Linked DNA regions of Rattus norvegicus. The main gene of each other region encodes a partner of the protein of the gene in region 2 in a complex. Links are inferred from orthologs where the notes say so. Each region holds a gene or a part of one and is shown on either strand. Other genes may lie near its edges.

Region 1 (4,218 bases), on a different chromosome or scaffold from region 2:
GGACAACTTCATGCAGTGTGGGACAATCGATGTTATCGAAAACACGCTGACTCACACGGCTGAGCTGGCCTGTACGAGATCAAGGCAGCCAATATTCTAGCATGTAGTGGGAATGGTTCATGGGCCTACCTATAATGAGGAGCTGTGGACAATTGACGGCTTCTGAGAGAGGGACTGTCAGTGTTCTTTAAGGGTGGCCCCTGGTAGGTTGACCATGACCTATTGGATAGTCCCACAGGCCCAGGAGTAGTTAGATGATCAGCACAAACTGGACTTGATGGGTTATTGGGATGGGTTATGGGGGTGAACCCAAAGTTTGGAGGGTACAAATATGGGGGTGAACCTGGGAGGAGTTAGGGCAGGGGTAAATATGATCAAAATATATTTCATGAAATTCTCAAAGAATAAAAGTGTTAAAACTTTATGGGAATGAAAAGAAACTTGTGTAATGATTTAGTAGAGGAATTCCCAAGTATGGGCTCCCATACAGCTGACATTTTCTTTAATGGTACACACAAGGTAAGAGCTAATCTGCAGCAAAACCACCATCTTCAATCCCCCCCCCCCCCCGAGCTCACGCAGCCACTGGGGAATATTTAGATCCCAGATGATTTTCGTTTGTCCTGGGGGTTTTCTACAGGAGTCTCCTAAGCGGACTACTGTGCCGCCCTCTACCACAAAGAATGTTCGTGGTGTCACAAAGTGTCAGTGGTGGGAAACACCAGGCCAAAGCAAGTGGAGAAGCCTTCCTTTTGCTAAGCATTCTTGCCTTCCCCTTACAGTAGGCTTTCTTGAATGTACAAACATCAACAAAAGATATAGACAGTTTTTTACAAAGCTACAACAAAAGCAGGTCCTAGAGCCAAAGCAGGCAGCCCAGTGCATGCATGTTCAAAACAGACTTGACAAACGAGCCCATAGGTCCATGGCTCCTGCACTTCTAGGTAAAAACTGTAAGAAAAGAGCATGTAGGGTAGCACCCTCAGGAAACTGACTTGTAGGTTGGGTCATCTAGGGATCTGGGCCTTCTAAGTAGGCTTTTCAGTTCGTGCTTCTCAAAGGTCTTCATTCACAAAAAGATTTACATAATGGGTCTGGGAAAGGTGTATGCATACTCCGCACAGGACCGTCTTCCTTTGTAGGTGTGTTCAGTAGAAATTAAGGCGCAGGGACCTCAGACGCTTGATTAGCGGCTTCGGGTGCAGGGCGCAGCGCGCAGGCGCAGGAAAACTCCGAAGGGGCGGGGGGGGGCGGAGCTGCCGCGCGCGCAGTTTCCGCTGGGTCTCCCCGGAAGTTCCGAATCACCAGTACTGGAGGGTGCAGCAAGTGCTTCCTGGATCGCCACGGAGGTCACGAGTAATGTGACAGCGACTTGACAGGCAGCTTCAGAGAAGCGACTGAACTGCGGGAACACCGGGGCAGGTGGAGCGCGCGTTGCGTCTGCAGAGGTCGCCCCTTCTCTCAGCTCCGGGACAGGGTGGGTGGGGAGAGGTGGGCCGTCCGGGCTGGCCACCGGGCAGGGTCCTGGGGACCTCCCCACCCCCTTGACGGAGATCCAGAACTCTCGCTTGGCCCTGGCGAGGGTGGACCTCGTGATGCTGGCTGGGGCTGGGGAGGGTGAATAACCCCCAGGTGCGGGGGGAGTCACGGAAGTTTTCCTTCCAGGAGTGGAGACTGATTCTGCGAGAGAAAGGGGTTCATCATGGCGGATGTGAGTTGACACCCCTTCCCAAGAAAAATGGGGATGTGGGAGGTTTGCATGAGGCTTCTGAGAGGAAGCTAGAATTTTGTTCCGTCCTTAGCCTCTCCCCTCTTCCCGGATCCGGATCCGTAGTAAGGACTTGCAGGGACCTTAGTTTCTATCAGGAACGGTTGTGGTGGGGCACTCTTAACCCGAGAGAACTGTACTCTTCCCACCTCCTAATCCTATTGGAGCATACATGAACTCTGTGTGGGTAACTTCGGAAATTCTAAAGGATGACTGACTGCCCTTCCAGTCAGTACCTGATCCAGAGGACAGTGCTCTGAATACTTTCCTACCAAATAAATGCTTAGTGTCTCATTAGACTCAGCATTGCAATCTAAAAGGATTTCTAAAGGGTGCCCCTTTCGCAACCTGTATTCCGTTTCTGTGTGTCTGTTTAAGACGAGAGCAAAAGTTCATGGTGGTAACATGGGAGAGGATACTCATTTAGGTTTGTAGATAAAGGTTCAAAACAGGACACATTTAGACTGGAGGTCATAGTTATGCTTGTTGGCCAGGAATATTTCTAGATGCATGTATAATGAGAGAAGGTGGCTTTCTGTTCTCTTAGTCCTTACCACGTTCTCTGATAAATCTCCACATTGTCATTATCTTTGTCAAGAAACTGGATATTAAAGTAGTTTATCTGAATTAGGATCATTAAAAACAATCGTGGAAGATCAGTACGGACATAGGAAGAGATTTATAGACTATTCCTAAGGGGACACAGTAGCATCAGGATGTAAATTATTAAGAAACACATGGTCTCATTTTATAGTAAATAATGTATTTGTGTTTCCCAATTCCAAGTACACCAACATATATACCTTATGAAATTTGATTATCCCTGTATACATGTAAGGAAACATACAATGGATCTGAGGCCTGGAAAAAGGTTAATTAACTTCTCCCAAGTTATACAAGTAAAAGATGAAATGCCAGTTACAAATGATGACCTCATGTCCTTTGGGGTATGGACAGGGCTAGAAAAGCACACAGTAATATGATCTTTAAAAAATTATTCTCTTTCAGGATCTAAAGCGATTCCTATACAAAAAGTTGCCAAGGTAAGAAATTACTAATTTGTTGCTGAATAAATTCTGCGCAACATGTTAATCTTACAAAGTGTTTTGTTTCTCCTTTTTAAATTAATATTTTATAATTGTCATGGTAATTATTTGCCACGTTTTAATACAAACTAACCCCAAGTATCGTAAGTAATGACTAGTTTCTAGATAGATAACTCGAAGCCCAGGCTGTTAAATGACTTGTGTATGGTTCAACAGCAGATAGGTACTAGGGACAGAACTTAGATTTCTTGCCACTTTGAATTATTTTTAAACACACTATCATTGGTGTTTATTAGATTATTTTTTAAAGTTCTTAAGTAAATTTAAGAAAAAAAGCTTAAGACTTGCCATTATTTTCAAGTCTATTTTACTATTGGGACCTAATTGCTGGTCAACATAATCCAAAAATAGTTGGCTCAGAAAACAGTTCCCTACCTGTTTTTAGGTGCCGTTCTTACAAAGGCCTTAACAGGTGGTAACGTTAGCAGATTGCTTTTACGTATTTTACTGATCCAAAGGACTTTCTCACTTGAACTCATTGAAGCTCATTCTTAGTTTAATGTGAAAACAAAAAACAAAAAAAAAAAAAAACGATGTCTTTGTTGACAAGCACGTCTTTTGTCTACATCCACATCTTTCTACAAATAACTCAGAACTCGTAATCATTAAGGATGAGCAAGGAAGGTAGGGAAGAATGCCCGAGTCTTTGTTTTCACATTCCAGAACAAAGCAGCAGATTGGATTGAACAACCTTTGAGGTCATCAAGCAGAATATTCTATGAATATTTTTCTATTTGTGGAATAATATAAAAGTTATTTATATTATTTTGTCTAATCTTCCGAGTCTAAAGTTATAAGCGCTTGTGTGCAGATATCAGTTTACCTCTGTAGGTTGAAAAAATTAACACTGGTTTCAAGTTGCTTGAATTGTTGGATGTATGGCTTTTGCTTTGATTGTAGATCAGTGGAAATTAATAAGTGTGTTCTGGTTGTGATCTATATGGTGTATATAGAAAACACCATTGGCATGTTAAGTGAGACAGTGATAATTATCGATTTTATGTTAATGAAATCTTTAATTAATTTAAATTAATGTAATTAAATTTAATTTTAATTCTTTTTCTCATAATAAAATGGCAAATTATAGAGACCAGCTGCTGGTTCTGTTTTCACACAAATGGCCAACATGACAGGCAGTGACAGCTTTGCATGCTAACTAATGAATGGCAATAGAAACAGTGGTACAGGCTAAAACCATGCAGGAGAGGGTTAGTAACTAGTGGGGGAAATAATACTTGTTTTTCTGACCTTATAACATTTCAAAACATTAAAACTTTTCTCGTTATTGATTACTAATGCTTGGGGGACTGCAGGCTGCCCTCGTGTGCTCTCTAAAGCCATGAT
Region 2 (4,045 bases):
CCTGGGCATGCTGGGCAAGTGTTCAAACTCAGACCCATGCCTCATTTTTAAAGACATGCATTTTCTCTAATTAGCTGCTTCTCCTAAACCAAGACGATTTGGGGTGGAGGACTTTCTTTCTTGAGCTATGATTAGTGCTGGGGATACAGACCAGATGGAGAGCTCTTACCCAGCATGCGCAAGGCCCTTACTTTGCTTCTCGGCACTGAAAATAAGGGGGGGGGGGGGGAGGGTTATATAATTCACAGATCTTGAAACATTTTAATTCAAAGTGTACAACCTATGTCACAGTCACAAAGATAGGCAGACTTCAATACGAATCCCAAAAAGTTTAAATCACACGTGCCACTCCCCCCCCCCCCTTAATAGGCACTTCCTATTTTCTCTTGCCTCACTACCGACCACTAACTGCTTTCACGTTTTTCTGGATTTGCCAGAAGTGTATGTGTTTTAGTTAGGCTCCTGGTAGGTAGCTCAGGCTGGCACTGAACTCACTATTCAGTCCAATCTGGCCTGAACTTGAAACCCCCTTCCTTGGCTTCCCAGGATTTATACCAGTATTACAAGTATTCAGCGTCAGTCACAGCTAAGCATCTTACATAGATGGAACCACATAATATGTGGTCTTATGTGACTGCCCTTTCAAGCCAGTCCTTCTGGTTGATTCTGAGCCTCTAAAGGCTGAGTTGTCTCTGAAGCTATTCTTCTGGCTTGCTTTAACTTGCTTTCGAGATTCTCAAGTTGCTCTTGGTGTCAGGACGTTTTTCCCTTGTATTGATAATATACTACAGTGTGCATATATACACCAAATTTGATTTACCCATTCATATTTGGGTCGTATACTAAGGCAGAAAATTAACACGTGAACAGTTTTTCATGTGTAAACCATCGTCATTCACATTAACTTCTCTTTTCAGGTTGAACCGTGACACCTAACGGGGAAAGCTCTTTACAACACTAGACTGCATTACTTTCTCCTTGGAAGCCTAGGCGCACGCGCACGTTCGTGAGGAGGTGGAGAGGTGCCCCGCCCCTCGCTCAATAACTCTTCAGATAATCTCGCAGGCGAATCCTGAGTGGCGAGGAAATGCAACCAATCCACGAATGTGTCCGGAAAGCGGCGCTCCGCAGTGGTTGATAAAGTCTGATGACGTACGCACCATCCAATGCGCAAGCGAAGGGCTGGGCTAGAGTCAGCTGGTGAACCACCTGACCGGAGCCTGGAGCCGGAAGCTACCTATCCGGTAGACAGCTCCCCCTGCACCTACGGCTGCCATGGTGAGTGAGGACGCATGCGCGGGCTTGTGCGCCTAGGGTTGCGCGTCCCTGTTCCCCAAACTTCGGTTACCCCCTTATGGCTTGCACTCCGCTGTCACCCCCAGTCCACCCTGGGACCGAAAGGAAACAGAGATGGAAGGGAGGCGACCGGGAGGGCTGGAGAAGGAAGGCTCCGCTACCGGGTGTTTTGCGGCCGGGAGTAGTTTTGATGGCACAAGGGGCGGGGCATAAGGGCACTGGAATGAGAAGGGGCTGTGAAGCTAGGAAGGTCTCCTGGGTCACCTGCCTGACAAGTGGAAGAGCTCAGGCGTCCAATAGTGACCATGGATGGAGACTCAGTGTTACAAGCCATTTAGAGGGTCTGAAAGGCTTATATCCAGGAGGGAGATGGGTTTACAAGGCTGTCATGGTTCTCACCTCTTGCCTCTTTACCCACTAGACTTCCGCACTGACCCAAGGGCTGGAACGAATCCCAGACCAGCTTGGCTACCTGGTGCTGAGCGAAGGTGCAGTGCTAGCGGTGCGTTGTGGGAAAGCGAGGCATGGGGTGGTGGCGGTGACGGGGTCCTTTGGGGACACACAACCCAGAAATCCCTTCAAATATTTCCCGCTTTCTCTCAGTTGTCTACTTTTGTCCTCTCTGTGGTTCCCTGCTTGCCATATTTAATGTTTGGATATATGGTATAAATGCTTATTTCCAAAAGGTTGGGGTTATAGCTCAGTCAGGAGAGTGAGTTACTTAGCACGTACAAAGCCTTCAGTTCAATTCCCAATACTGCACAAAACCAAACACAGAGGCACGTGATCTGTAGCCCCAGCACTTGGAAGGTGGAAACCGGCAGATTAGAAATTCAGGTTCATCTTTGGCTATGTATCAAGTCAAATCACAGTCTGGACCACATGTAACTCAGCCTCAAAAAACAAAAACCAAACTTTACCAAAGTCATTCAATTAGTTAGTTACTTGTAGTATGTTTTTATTTGGGATATCTTTAAAAAAGCCGAGGACAACCTTTGGGAGTGAGTTCTCCTCCTGCCATGCGGGTCCTGAGGATTGAAATCCGGTCCTTAGGCAAGCACTTTTATGCTCTGAGCCATTTCACCTGCCCCTAGAATTTTGGGGGGCGGGGGCAAGACTTCTCTAGAGGCAAGGATTGAGCTGAGCTGCTAAGACAGAAGGTTGTGAACGAGGAAGAGAATTCTCAGGGCTGGGAGCTGGACATACTTGCCTGAGTGTAACAGCGCCTGGTTGTGGTCTTGTGTTGAAACAGTTTGAAGAGGAAGGATGCTGTGGTAAGACTCTGATACTGAACTTCCTATGGCTAGCTTCAATATCTTTGGACAAATCTTGAGGGTTACTTAAAGGGTTTTGAAAACATAAATGTGACTCACAGAAATGGTGTAGCATGACTGTCCCAGGAGAGCCATCTAAGAGACTGGCCGGGTAGCAATGAGAAGTAAGGGCTATAGACATTGTATCTATTTTTTTAGTGTCTGCACATGTGTGTGCCCATGCATATGCTAAGACCAGTGTAGGACATTAGAGACCTCCTCTTACCCTTCTCTGCCTTATTCCTTGAGGCAGGGTCTCATACTGAACCTGGAGCTAGACTGGCAACACTGAGCAAGCCTTAGCAATCAACCTGCCTGTACACCCACAGTACTGGGATTCCAGGTGTGAGCATGGCCATGTAGGGTAGGGGATTTGAACTCAGGTCCTCTTGCTTGTACAGCAAGCGCTCTTATCCACTGAGCCATTGCCACAGCCCAGAGATCACATCTTAGAGGTATTAATATATGTTGGTAATAACTAGGTAAAGTACTTCTGCATGTACCTTACCTTTCTGATGTACTCATCCTGTAGGACTCTGAGCAGGGAAAACCAGAAAAGTACTGTGGTACCTGAACAAATAAGAAAGTAAAAAAGGAAGCTGACCAAGGAGGTAGCTAAAGGGAATTTTGATGGCCTGACTATAGACAGGAGATGAGTGAGGTCTGAGATGAGTGAGATGGACTGATAGCAGTTATAGTACATTTATTATGTAGGCACTGTTATAATATTCTCATTGTTTTCTCATGAAACTTCCACAAGCACAGAATATGGGTCCAATATACAGATGGAGAAACTGAGAGCAAAAGGAACTAAATCTAGTAAAGGGCCCATTTAGAATCAGTGGGAAGAGGGAGTAGAAGCAGTTTGTCCAGAGAAGTCTGGACTACTGTCTTCTCATTGACCCTAGAAGTAGCCAGAGGGAAAGCTTCAAAGACAAAGTAGGTGTTTCTGGTTCATAGCCTTCAGACAAGGACAAGTGGGAAGACTGGGGACAAGTGGAACCTTCAAAGATTGAGCAGTTAGCTTAGTGGTAGAACATCTTCCTAGAATCCTCTGTGAGGGGCTGAAGGCATGGGTCAGTAGTAGAACACTTGCCCAGGAGTCCCCCAGTGAGGGGCTGGGGGCGTGGCTCAGTGGTAGAGCCCCTGCCTAGAATCCCCCCAGTGAGGGGCTGGGGGTGTGGCTCAGTGGTACAGCCCCTGCCTAGAATCCCCCAGTGAGGGGCTGGGGGCGTGGCTCAGTGGGAGAGCCCCTGCCTAGAATCCCCCAGTGAGGGGCTGGGGGTGTGGCTCAGTGGTACAGCCCCTGCCTAGAATCCCCCAGTGAGGGGCTGAGGGCGTGGCTCAGTGGTACAGCCCCTGCCTAGAATCCCCCAGTGAGGGGCTGGGGGTGTGATAGATCACTTGGTAATCACACCCTAGGTTTTGATTTTCTG

The links. Proteins that work in one complex are often made in the same cells at the same time.
Region 1: Lamtor4 (region 2) and Lamtor3 share a complex: the UniProt entries of both Homo sapiens proteins name them as parts of the ragulator complex. The link is inferred for Rattus norvegicus from reciprocal best matches to the Homo sapiens genes LAMTOR4 and LAMTOR3.

What each region holds. Positions count from the first base shown.
Region 1 is NC_086020.1:229,083,523-229,087,740, forward strand, and holds the start of Lamtor3 (ragulator complex protein LAMTOR3), read left to right. Parts: upstream 1-1,367; 5' UTR 1,368-1,448; exon of another isoform or gene 1,449-1,477; intron 1,478-1,665; 5' UTR 1,666-1,702; coding exon 1,703-1,711; intron 1,712-2,776; coding exon 2,777-2,811; intron 2,812-4,218. UniProt on the Homo sapiens protein: As part of the Ragulator complex it is involved in amino acid sensing and activation of mTORC1, a signaling complex promoting cell growth in response to growth factors, energy levels, and amino acids.
Region 2 is NC_086030.1:22,371,063-22,375,107, forward strand, and holds the start of Lamtor4 (ragulator complex protein LAMTOR4), read left to right. Parts: upstream 1-1,206; 5' UTR 1,207-1,275; coding exon 1,276-1,278; intron 1,279-1,717; coding exon 1,718-1,798; intron 1,799-4,045. UniProt on the Homo sapiens protein: As part of the Ragulator complex it is involved in amino acid sensing and activation of mTORC1, a signaling complex promoting cell growth in response to growth factors, energy levels, and amino acids.